Drosophila melanogaster: one gene and its partner. The protein of the gene in region 1 interacts with the protein of each later gene in a pairwise test. Each region holds a gene or a part of one and is shown on either strand. Other genes may lie near its edges.

Region 1 (4,794 bases):
CTACACCGAAAGCAATTAGTTTCGAAGCAGGGAATCATTTAAATAACTTTGTAGCTAGGAAAACTTAAGCAACTATAGATATTTCGATGTGAAATATATATCATATTATATTAAGCATTTTTATATGGTATTGTTAGCACGCGCTCAATATAATATTCAAGTACCTAAATACATTTTCTTCACTGTGCATTTTTGTATCTTATCAAAGACAAGGCGTGGTATCATTTACTTTTTCAGAGCTTATCAATGTGATTGCTTGTGGTTCGATACTTTATTGCCTTTCTGTTTATCAAGAAGCTAAAGTGTAAATATTTACGACCTTTGGAAACTTTGCAATTAAATTCGCCGTGCATTTATCCTAGACTCAAACCCAATTGCACTCGCCGCAAGGCGCGCATTTCAAAACTGCAATCGAGCATTTCTTATCAGAGTTTTGGGGCTTTGCACAAGCAACTGCAAAGCTGAAAAATATATATTTTATTTGAGGAGGAATATATATTTTTGGAAAATATAAAAACGGTTACCGGCTGAATAAAATGAATGGCCATAAAGCCTAATCTCAAGAACATTTATTGCTTGACCATCCAGAAAATTTAATTAAAAATGGGACCGTTTAGAATCTACTTGTGTGTGCTGCTATATATTTCACTATATTTCTTATCTTGGTGGAACTTTTTTTTTAGAGGCAGTTAACGGATTTGTGGGCCATTTACCCAGGCATTATGTATACATATGTATGATTTAATAGCTATATTTCTCCATTAAATCCACTGGCAGGGCATCCATTGGTGGGGGCCACTATCAGTTGAGCGTACTTTTGACTTTGAGCCAAATCGGCGCAGCTTATCAGTGACGTCCCATTCGCAGCTTACGATTCCCTGTCTTTCAATTGAATATATGTATATAGCTTTTCTGATTTCTGCACTTTGAAACGCCAATTGCGTAATGCAAAAAATGAGCAAACGAACAAAGAATCTTTTAGAAACATGACAATGACCAAAGATCGACATTACCTCCAAAATACTATACTTTTCGCACTCAAAAATCAGCATCAATCAGCCGCAGATTGTTTGCTTTCTTTTTAGCGACAGCGAATTTATTTGTTTTTAAATTAAAAATGTACTAAATGCCGGTCCCGAAAAATACACAAATGTATGCTATTTTATATACGCACATATGTATCTTTGGAATATATGAATGTATGTGTATATATATAGGTATATTGTTTAGACGAGACAAACTGAAACTTGTTGGCAATAACTTTTTGGAAAACCGGTTGCGGTTTTGATGGCATTGATATAGACGAAAGGGTTAAGAATTAGGGGAAAGGGGTAAGAATTTGGGAATGAGAAAACATCGATACAGTGATCTCTGCTTAATTAAGACAAATTCAATACGATGCCGATATATAGATATAGATAGATATAAAATAATATATCCAATAGAATTTTTATATGATAACCATCTAAAGCAGCTGTGCATAGAACTTTTGCGTATTAATTTAAGAAACATTACCTCCAAATATTTATTTTAAATAAATTTTTCAAATTTTAACATTTTTTTTTTTTTGAGACAACTTTTGTTAGTCACTGTTTATCTGCGATATATATATATGCAGCGTATCGCTTTTGTTTGTGATTGTTTTGACAACAAAACTGGCTTATGCAACGAACTGTTAAAAAAAAATCTGAAACAGAAAATTATGTGAACTGGCTGCACTTTGCTTCAAAGACCCCGCTCCCCCCTGCACTTTCACCCCCCGCATTGGGGGGATTATCAGACAAACCAACTGGATAAGATAGTAACGATAAGGAATCCAATTAGAACACGGCCATTCGGATTTACTAAAATCACAACTTTTGCCAAACGTTAGTAAATTATATTAAATTATATTGTAACTCCGATTGACACGTAGAGCGCAACGAACAACAGCAACACAAAAAGAAGCAGAAATAACGGGTAAAGGGGGTGTTTTGATGTGCTAATTGGGTTGCTAAACAGCTGTTGACGCCGCACAAATTGAGCACAAAAAAAAAAACAATAACACGGCACGCAATTCAATTAGGGAAACGCACGCAGAACGATAAACAAAATCAGGGTACTATTGTGTATTAGATTTTTTTTTGGGCGCACAAATCACTTTCACTGTCACTTCCTCGCTGCTCCCAATTAGAATTTCTCGGCCACTGTGTTTATATATATGTACATATATGCACATGCATATATACATATATACGTCGGCAGTTCAAGAGCAAAAAATCGATTTTTCGCTGCACTTTTTAGTCGTTTCACCTTGATGGGCGCAAGTGGGCGTGGCGATTATCTAACGGCGTTTGTTGTGATCCCAAGAACTTGCATAAACTTATTAATAAACGCGATATGTCTGTATATAAAATACCTAATAAAAACGTGTGTGCTTGCTTGGCTGCGTGTGTGTGCGCGTACGTGTGTGTGTGTGTGCGAATATGTGCGGCGTGCGAGCTCCAATCAGAATCGTATCAAAAATTCAAAGCTCTTTGGCCGCTAGACGCAATTAAGGAACTGACAACAAGAACTGAAACCGCACCGAGATGGAAAATGAAGTGCTGGCAGTATTTACCGACTATATGTTTTTCTTGCGGGCAAAAGTCACGATGAAGCGGGCAGCGATTAAGTTTTAAAAATATCACGTCTGCAGCCCTCGCAGCCAAACTTTCGATAGACGGCGATAGATCGATAGACCAGCGATTTGCACCAACACTGGAAAGCTCAGAGCATTCAAAAACAAACTAATGTGTTTTATAAATAGCTCTTTTTAAATATCGATTAATTGCGATCTTAACTAACTTTCGTTTATTTCTATTAATTATGAACTTACTTCTGTTTTTAAACATCTTTGCTCTTTGCTTGTTTTTCGTGTAAGGCTTTAAATTCACTTAAACAATTTTGCTGGCTTTGTGCGCATCTTCATATATCACTGAAATTGATTGTTATAGGAGTGTCCCATTGAATTAGTTTTGTGTCGATTCAATCCTGGCCCGAAAATGTATGAACAAGCTATGCCCTACATTTTACCCATAGTCTACTTAGGTTTGTTTATATAGTATTCTTTTCAAGTTCGTTATGATAGCTCTTAGAAAATAAGATTTCTGTGAATATCTCCTCCGTATAAAAGAATTTTTATCAATAGTTTGGTAAGCTTTTTTTTCTCTTCTACAAAACCTTTTCGCATGTTTTATTTCACTCGAAACTTATTGCTATTCAAAAAAATGGGTTTTCTAACGCTAGAATTATGTACAGAGTGCATTTGGAAAAAATGATGGGTAGTAAGCCCTAGAAAGCCATGGCTACGTGCTGATGCCCATGATGGATTCGATGGAGAAACTCAGCTTGGGCTTCTTGCCACTGCCGGTGGAGGCAGTGGTGACTGCGGGCGTGGTCATCGCTGGATTTGTGGGCGGGATCGTTAGCGGTATCGTCGGCGGCATCGGGTGATAAATGTGCTGCTCCTGATGAACGGGTGCGCAGGCGGCGGCGGCGGCGGCAACGGTGGCAAAGTACAAAGCGTTACCGCCCAGCGTCGCCTCCATGACATGGTTCAGTTCCGGATCGGCGAATGCCCGCCGTTTGCGCATGCGCTCCATCAATGGCGAGCTGAACGTGGGAAATCGCTGTTTGTATTCTGAAAGAGAACGAACCAAAAGGAATGGTTGAAATTAGTGAGGGTTTTGGTGGGGGCGTTATCACTACAAATTGCCGCGATTCGTTATGAATGGGTATTCCAAATTGAAACAATTTATTATTGGGTAATCCGAGACACGCGTCGCCTGACCAGACAGCCTGGCACCGTTTTTTTTTTTTTGTTTTTTTGTTTCAACTTCGGACCGGTTTCGGGATCTCCACTTATTCGGATGGAACCAGATGGAAAACCCAGAAAGAAGTCAATTGCTGTTGCCACATTTGGCTCTTTTTGTGAGTCGGATGGGTTTTTCCGTTTTTGGTCGCGTCTCAGCTTACCGAATGTGACTCCCCTCAAGTGATTGGAAAATGTGCGTACACTGCACACACACATTTCGAAGCATCCGATTTCAATTGTTTTTCGTCAGTCGAATAATTGCTGTTGTTATTGTTGGGCATCAGTCATTTCCTGTCCACGACCACGACCACGTCCATGGACAGAGGAAAAGAGACGGAAGATGGGCGGCGGGAGACAGGAGACTGGAGACCGGAGAGGATCTCCGATTACGAACGGACCAGACAGTCTGGCACCGTATGGGAAAGCGTGTGAGTAGGGAATGTACTTATCATTTCAGCTGTGTCGTCTACTTTACGACATCTAATAATTTCCAAATTGGAAAGTGTCTATTTGATTGCGGACTCATAGATAGATATCCTTTTTGATATGTACATAAATCCTTATTTATGTAGTCCCATACTAACCTTCCATGGCGGCTGTGATATGCAATGTGGATTGCTGCAAACTGCGTAGTCTCTGCTTGTAGATCCTCTTTTGGGCCATCAGAGCCTGTCGGGTGGCCGAGGATGAAGATGAGTTGCTAACGCAAGATGTGGGATGCGAATGCGAATGTGGATGTGAATGTGCCGGCGGTGGTGAAGTGGAGCTGAGGGAGTCCTCGCCCTCGCTGCTGCTGGAGTTGTTGGCACTGGCCGTTGTTACGCCCGTGGATTTTGTAGATGATGCGGTGGCCTCCAGAGCCTCCATGGTTTGCTGACGTCGCAGGGCCACCTGGGCGGCCATCACCCGCTGGCGATCGACGACCAGTTGGCAATTGGGGCAGCAGCATTCGCGCCAAC
Region 2 (4,987 bases), on another chromosome or scaffold:
GCATAGAATCACGTGCCGTTTGAAAATCAATTACTCAGCCGACAGTGAAAGCCACATCGATGACACGAGCCTTTTTTTTGTATACACAGGGAAAAACAAATTGACGCAATTAAAGGCAATTTATAGATAAATATGAAAATATAACAAATAATTAGTGAATATACGTTAAATTCAGCTTAAACATGTTGATCGTTTAATTTTAAAGCTTGAATAATATATGCATGTTATACTAACTAAAATTGTATTTTATTTTAATCGCAGGATACTTCCGACGATTCCGACTCAGAGGCGGAATCGGAGGAGCAGCAGCGGCGGTCATATCCCCACCGCGACGAGGACCAACTGAACTCGGCCACCAATTTGGTTTTGGCACAGAACTACAAGTACGATGTGGAGATCCTGGAATCCGGCGATGCCGACCAAGACGACAGTAGCATGGATGACGTGGACGATCTGGAGGAGCGTTTCAAGGGACGCGGTGTGATCTTCAGCACGGACACCGAAACCTTCGCCAACGAGAACATCGAGATGAGCCCGCTGAACGTGCAGGCGGATGCGGTTAGCCAGGGACACGTGCTGCTCGGCATCGTGGTGGTGGCACTGGCCTTGGTCTCCATCGGCCTGTACGCCGGCCTGGTCATATGGCGCTCGCACCTGGAGTGAGTTCTATTGGCTAATTGCTCTAATTTTCAGAGTGCTAACTCATTTACCATCTCTTTTCACCATCATCAGGCAGCGGTATGGAATGCGCGAACGACTGGTCAATCACGACTTGGAGGATGAAGCGGCTGGTGTCGACGACGTCGATTATCAGGTCTATGCGCCAACCACGACGGCAGCTACGCCTAGGGCGTAGTCCGTTTCGAAATCTGGTCCGATTCGATTCGATCCGATACGACGGTGGGCTTCAATTGGACCTGGTTTCGGTTTAAAGTGCACACTCACCACACAATTCAGACGAGACGACGACGATGGCAATTCATTGCAGCCTCAGCTAGGATGGTGGTGGAGAGACGGTGCTCAATCGTCTAATGTATGCCATAAATTTCCACGACAAGCTGAAAAGCATTCCGCTTCCCAATTACACTCTAATGGCGTTGCTAAAGGTCACGCCGATTTCTAACAGCGCAGTTGACAAGACCAATTAGTTAGTAAGTTTCTGTGATATTGTTCTAGAGATTCTTTTGTACGTCCTTGCACTAACAATACGCATAGAACCCACGTTGCTAATCGATAATAAAAACTATATGTAAATGTAAATGAATATTTAACTTAGGCGTCTTTATTTTGTTGATGGTAAATTCCTGCAAGTTACCTCTTTCACAGCTGCTTAAGACTCTGTGGTTTTCAAAATACTGGAATTATTTAATGGATTATAAATGAATAAGCAATTTAAAAATAACCAAAACATGTTATCTGACTTGATTCATTTTGAGTTTTATTGGATATAAATCTTCACAAGCCTTGTTTACACTTAACACACTCAGGTAAGCCATTAAATTAAAAATAGCCACACAAAGAACGAGTTACACACCCAATAAAATGCAGTAGTATAAGGTATTTTTGGAGTTAACAATTACATTGCTTTTATTTGTTATGCATTTATTCTTTCTTAACCCTAAAATAAAAAAGGTTTCCCTTTAAAAATTGAAATAATTTGTTTTCGTACAGGTATTTATAGCTCAAATTTGAATTTGAATTAGGCGCGTTTTCTTAATTAACAACACTGAAATAATATCTAAAGCGCAGCCAACTTTGCTCAGATAGCTCATGGGTACCACAAGACTAAGAACTAGTTCACAAATATGAATATTCAACAAAAACACCTTCTGGCTGACAGATAACTAGGCAGAAGTGGTGGTCTTTCTTACTTATTAGCTAAATGAAACCTTTGTATAGCTTCCTTAGAACGATACATGAAAAACTTAATCTTGACAAGCAACAAGTTTGCTGCATGCGCCGGAACCAGTCAGCAATGCCTCCAATTCGTCCCTGTCCAACACTGCAATCAGCTGTTACCTGGCCAACGCGTTTTTTTTTTTTGGCCTGCACTTTGAACCCCGAGGTTTCGTGCGAATAAAGATACGGATTTGAGTGCGCCTGTCCACATTCCCGCTCGTCCCGCTCCGCCATCCATCGCTGCCTATCGCATTTTCGGTTCAGAATCCCGCGGACCTTGCTGCCGTGCACATCGCATCGCATTTCCACAGCTGCGTTTTTCAGCATTTTCGTTCGCTCTCTCTCTCTCCGGTTTTTCAGAGCGCTCCGTTCCGCTCTCCCGCTCGCGCGCGCTCCCCTTAACGGTTCCATTGATAAGCAGCGCCACCCGCAGCCCCTGCCCCGCCCCCCTGCCACGCATATTCCGCCCTTCGCATTTCGGAAACTGCAAAAAAAAACCAAACCAAAGCAAAGCAAAAGCAAATCAATCAATTAAGATAGTACGCCGAATAGTGCAGTGCGTGTGTTAATTAATTTTGGTTGCCATTTCGCACATTCTGTATTTATTAATTGGCAGTGCATAGCTTCCGGCGGAAGAGGGCAACTTTCCGTTCATTTTCGAGCTTCCGTTTGTCGGCCAATTAGCAGCAGGTCGACAAAGAAAAAGCAAAAACAAGCGTAAAGGATAAGCCAACATGACGCACTGGGAGGACTTCTACAACACGCACCTGCCGCCCGCGGACTTCGAGGACAATCGCTCCCTGCTCAAGGAGTTCTGCGAACGGCACAACAAGCTCCAGAATCGCATCGTCCTCGTCACGGTGAGCTGGGATGATCCAAATCCGAATTAGGATTAGGATTAGCGCTAAATAACCACTGTACTCCGTTAATTAACTGCCCAAGCTGGTGAAAGCTTTCATGGTTGAGCCGAGCGCCTGGGGCATTAAAAACAAATGTGTAAAGTGTGGAAGTGAATAAATTTAAATTGGCTAGAACAAAGTTCGTAAATGTTAAACACATGCAGGGGCGCATGCATAAACAATTAGCATTTTGTGAATGGAGAAAACAAAAGTTGTTAAGTGTTTTTTTAACATACTTTAAAAAACCAAAATCACCTTTTTTTTGTTAGTTTTTAATTTAACATTTTAGAAATTTAATCTTAGTTAAGTTTCACTTTAAGTTAAGTTTTCCACTTTAAAATGCTGCTATGCGTAAATAATATATATTGCAAATATCTGCAAGTCTTGCAAATACTTGATTCGCCTCCTAAAGCTCAAAGTTAAATATGAAATTATGTGGGTCAACTGGTGTTTATTCACTGGGGCCAGCTTAATCCGAACATGATTTACGCAAATAGTTAACAACGAGGCACATTAGTTTCTCTCTATAAGATTTATGGTCAACTTGCTGATTTATCTGCCTGATTTGAATAACTAAATGCTGCCAAATATCTTGGATTTGTTCTAAGTCATTGGATTTTACATGAAAGGGACTTGGTTATTCTAATTTGTTTTATAAGAAATTATTGTAATGATTTGCACAAAACTGTTATTGTGCCTATAAGAAAGGATGTTAAAGGGGAGAAAATACATAAGAAGATACAAAACAAGAGAAAACTAGTCGAGTTACTCGGCTGTCAGACACCCAGTACTAAGAAGAACATCAAAAATTTATATTTGATATTAGTAAAAATGGTTAGAATCTGCATATCTAAACTTAATTTTGCAGATCTGGTAGTTACCAGGATCACAGCGTTCATACGGACAGAAATACGGACAAATGGACGGACATAGATTTCAGCGATTCTAGTATGCCCTTTCAACTCTACGAGTAAAGGGTATAACCACCACGAGCATTTAACCCCAGTTTTTGAACATGAAAATTTAATAGAGAATAGAATTTAAAAGTTGCTTTAATTGCAACATAACGATTAGGAAACAGAATAATCAATATTAAATAGGAGCAAAGAAAAAATACCAAAATGAACCAAAATATTTTCTAAAAGAACCCTAATTTGTTCAACATTTCCAGTCCGGTGGCACCACAGTTCCCCTGGAGCACAATACGGTGCGGTTTGTGGACAATTTTAGTGCTGGAACGCGTGGCTCCGCCTCGGCGGAATACTTCCTCGACCACGACTATGCCGTGATTTTCATGCATCGCCACAAGTCGCTGGAGCCCTTCACGCGCCACTTCACCGGCCAGCAGTTCTTCGACATGCTGGACATTGCGGACAACAGCCAGAGTTCGACGATAGCCATCAAACCGGATTCGGTGGACGTGTTTGCTCCGGTGCTGGCCAAATACAAGATAGCCCGCGAAACGCAGATGATCCTGTACGTGAACTTCACCAGCGTGGTGGACTACATGTGGCTGCTCCGCGCCGCCTGCGAGTGCCTGGCCGCCTTCGAGGAGCGAGCCGTGCTCTACCTAGCCGCAGCCGTATCCGATTTCTACATACCCGAGGACATGATGGTAAGATGAGACTACGGACGATGCCGGATGAGGCGGGTGGGCGGTCATGTGGGAAATCTCGTAATTGATTGCGCTCCTCACTGCGACGAGTGCGGAATGAGTGAGTGGAAATTGGTTTTTATCGATTCCCAAAGCTGCACTGCGGCAAATTAAGGATGTAGTACTTAAAAGTAAGGCCATGGCATAGTGATTGTGAATTCGTATCGATTTTCAAAGCAGCAACTACTAGTTGACATTGCAAAAGCGTCAATCATTTTGATCCTGATTTTGCTGATGCATGGAATGTATGTATGTATAATGCACTTTAAAGCACCATTTCCTGGCAGTGTGTTTCTAGTTGTTTTCGCTACCCTTGTGCCTGGTGCTCCTTCCGATTCCCGGTCGCTGTGCAAGTCCCCGGTCTGTGACACATTTCCTCTCCACATTATTGACGTTCGACTGGGCTAAGTCAACTATGGCTGCTGCTGCTGCTCCTCCAGTTCCTCTCTAGCTTCCTCCAATTCCATCCACTGGCCAGCAGGAGCCTTATCACAGGCTGTCAGTGTCACTCACGCTGGCCTTGTGGCCTTGTCCG

What was found. Proteins that work in one complex are often made in the same cells at the same time.
Region 2: the proteins of CG1640 (region 1) and Ppcs interact in a two-hybrid assay, tested with the Drosophila melanogaster proteins (one large-scale study listed by BioGRID).

What each region holds. Positions count from the first base shown.
Region 1 is NC_004354.4:13,368,866-13,373,659, reverse strand, and holds the start of CG1640 (uncharacterized protein), read right to left. Parts: upstream 3,055-4,794; 5' UTR 2,874-3,054; coding exon 2,858-2,873; intron 2,666-2,857; exon of another isoform or gene 2,134-2,665; intron 1-2,133. Other genes in the region: dmrt11E (doublesex-Mab related 11E), read right to left, coding at 3,327-3,661, 4,420-4,794.
Region 2 is NT_033777.3:19,144,907-19,149,893, reverse strand, and holds the start of Ppcs (phosphopantothenoylcysteine synthetase), read left to right. Parts: upstream 1-1,983; 5' UTR 1,984-2,633; coding exon 2,634-2,759; intron 2,760-3,969; coding exon 3,970-4,413; intron 4,414-4,987. Other genes in the region: CG5835 (uncharacterized protein), read left to right, coding at 262-659, 733-856.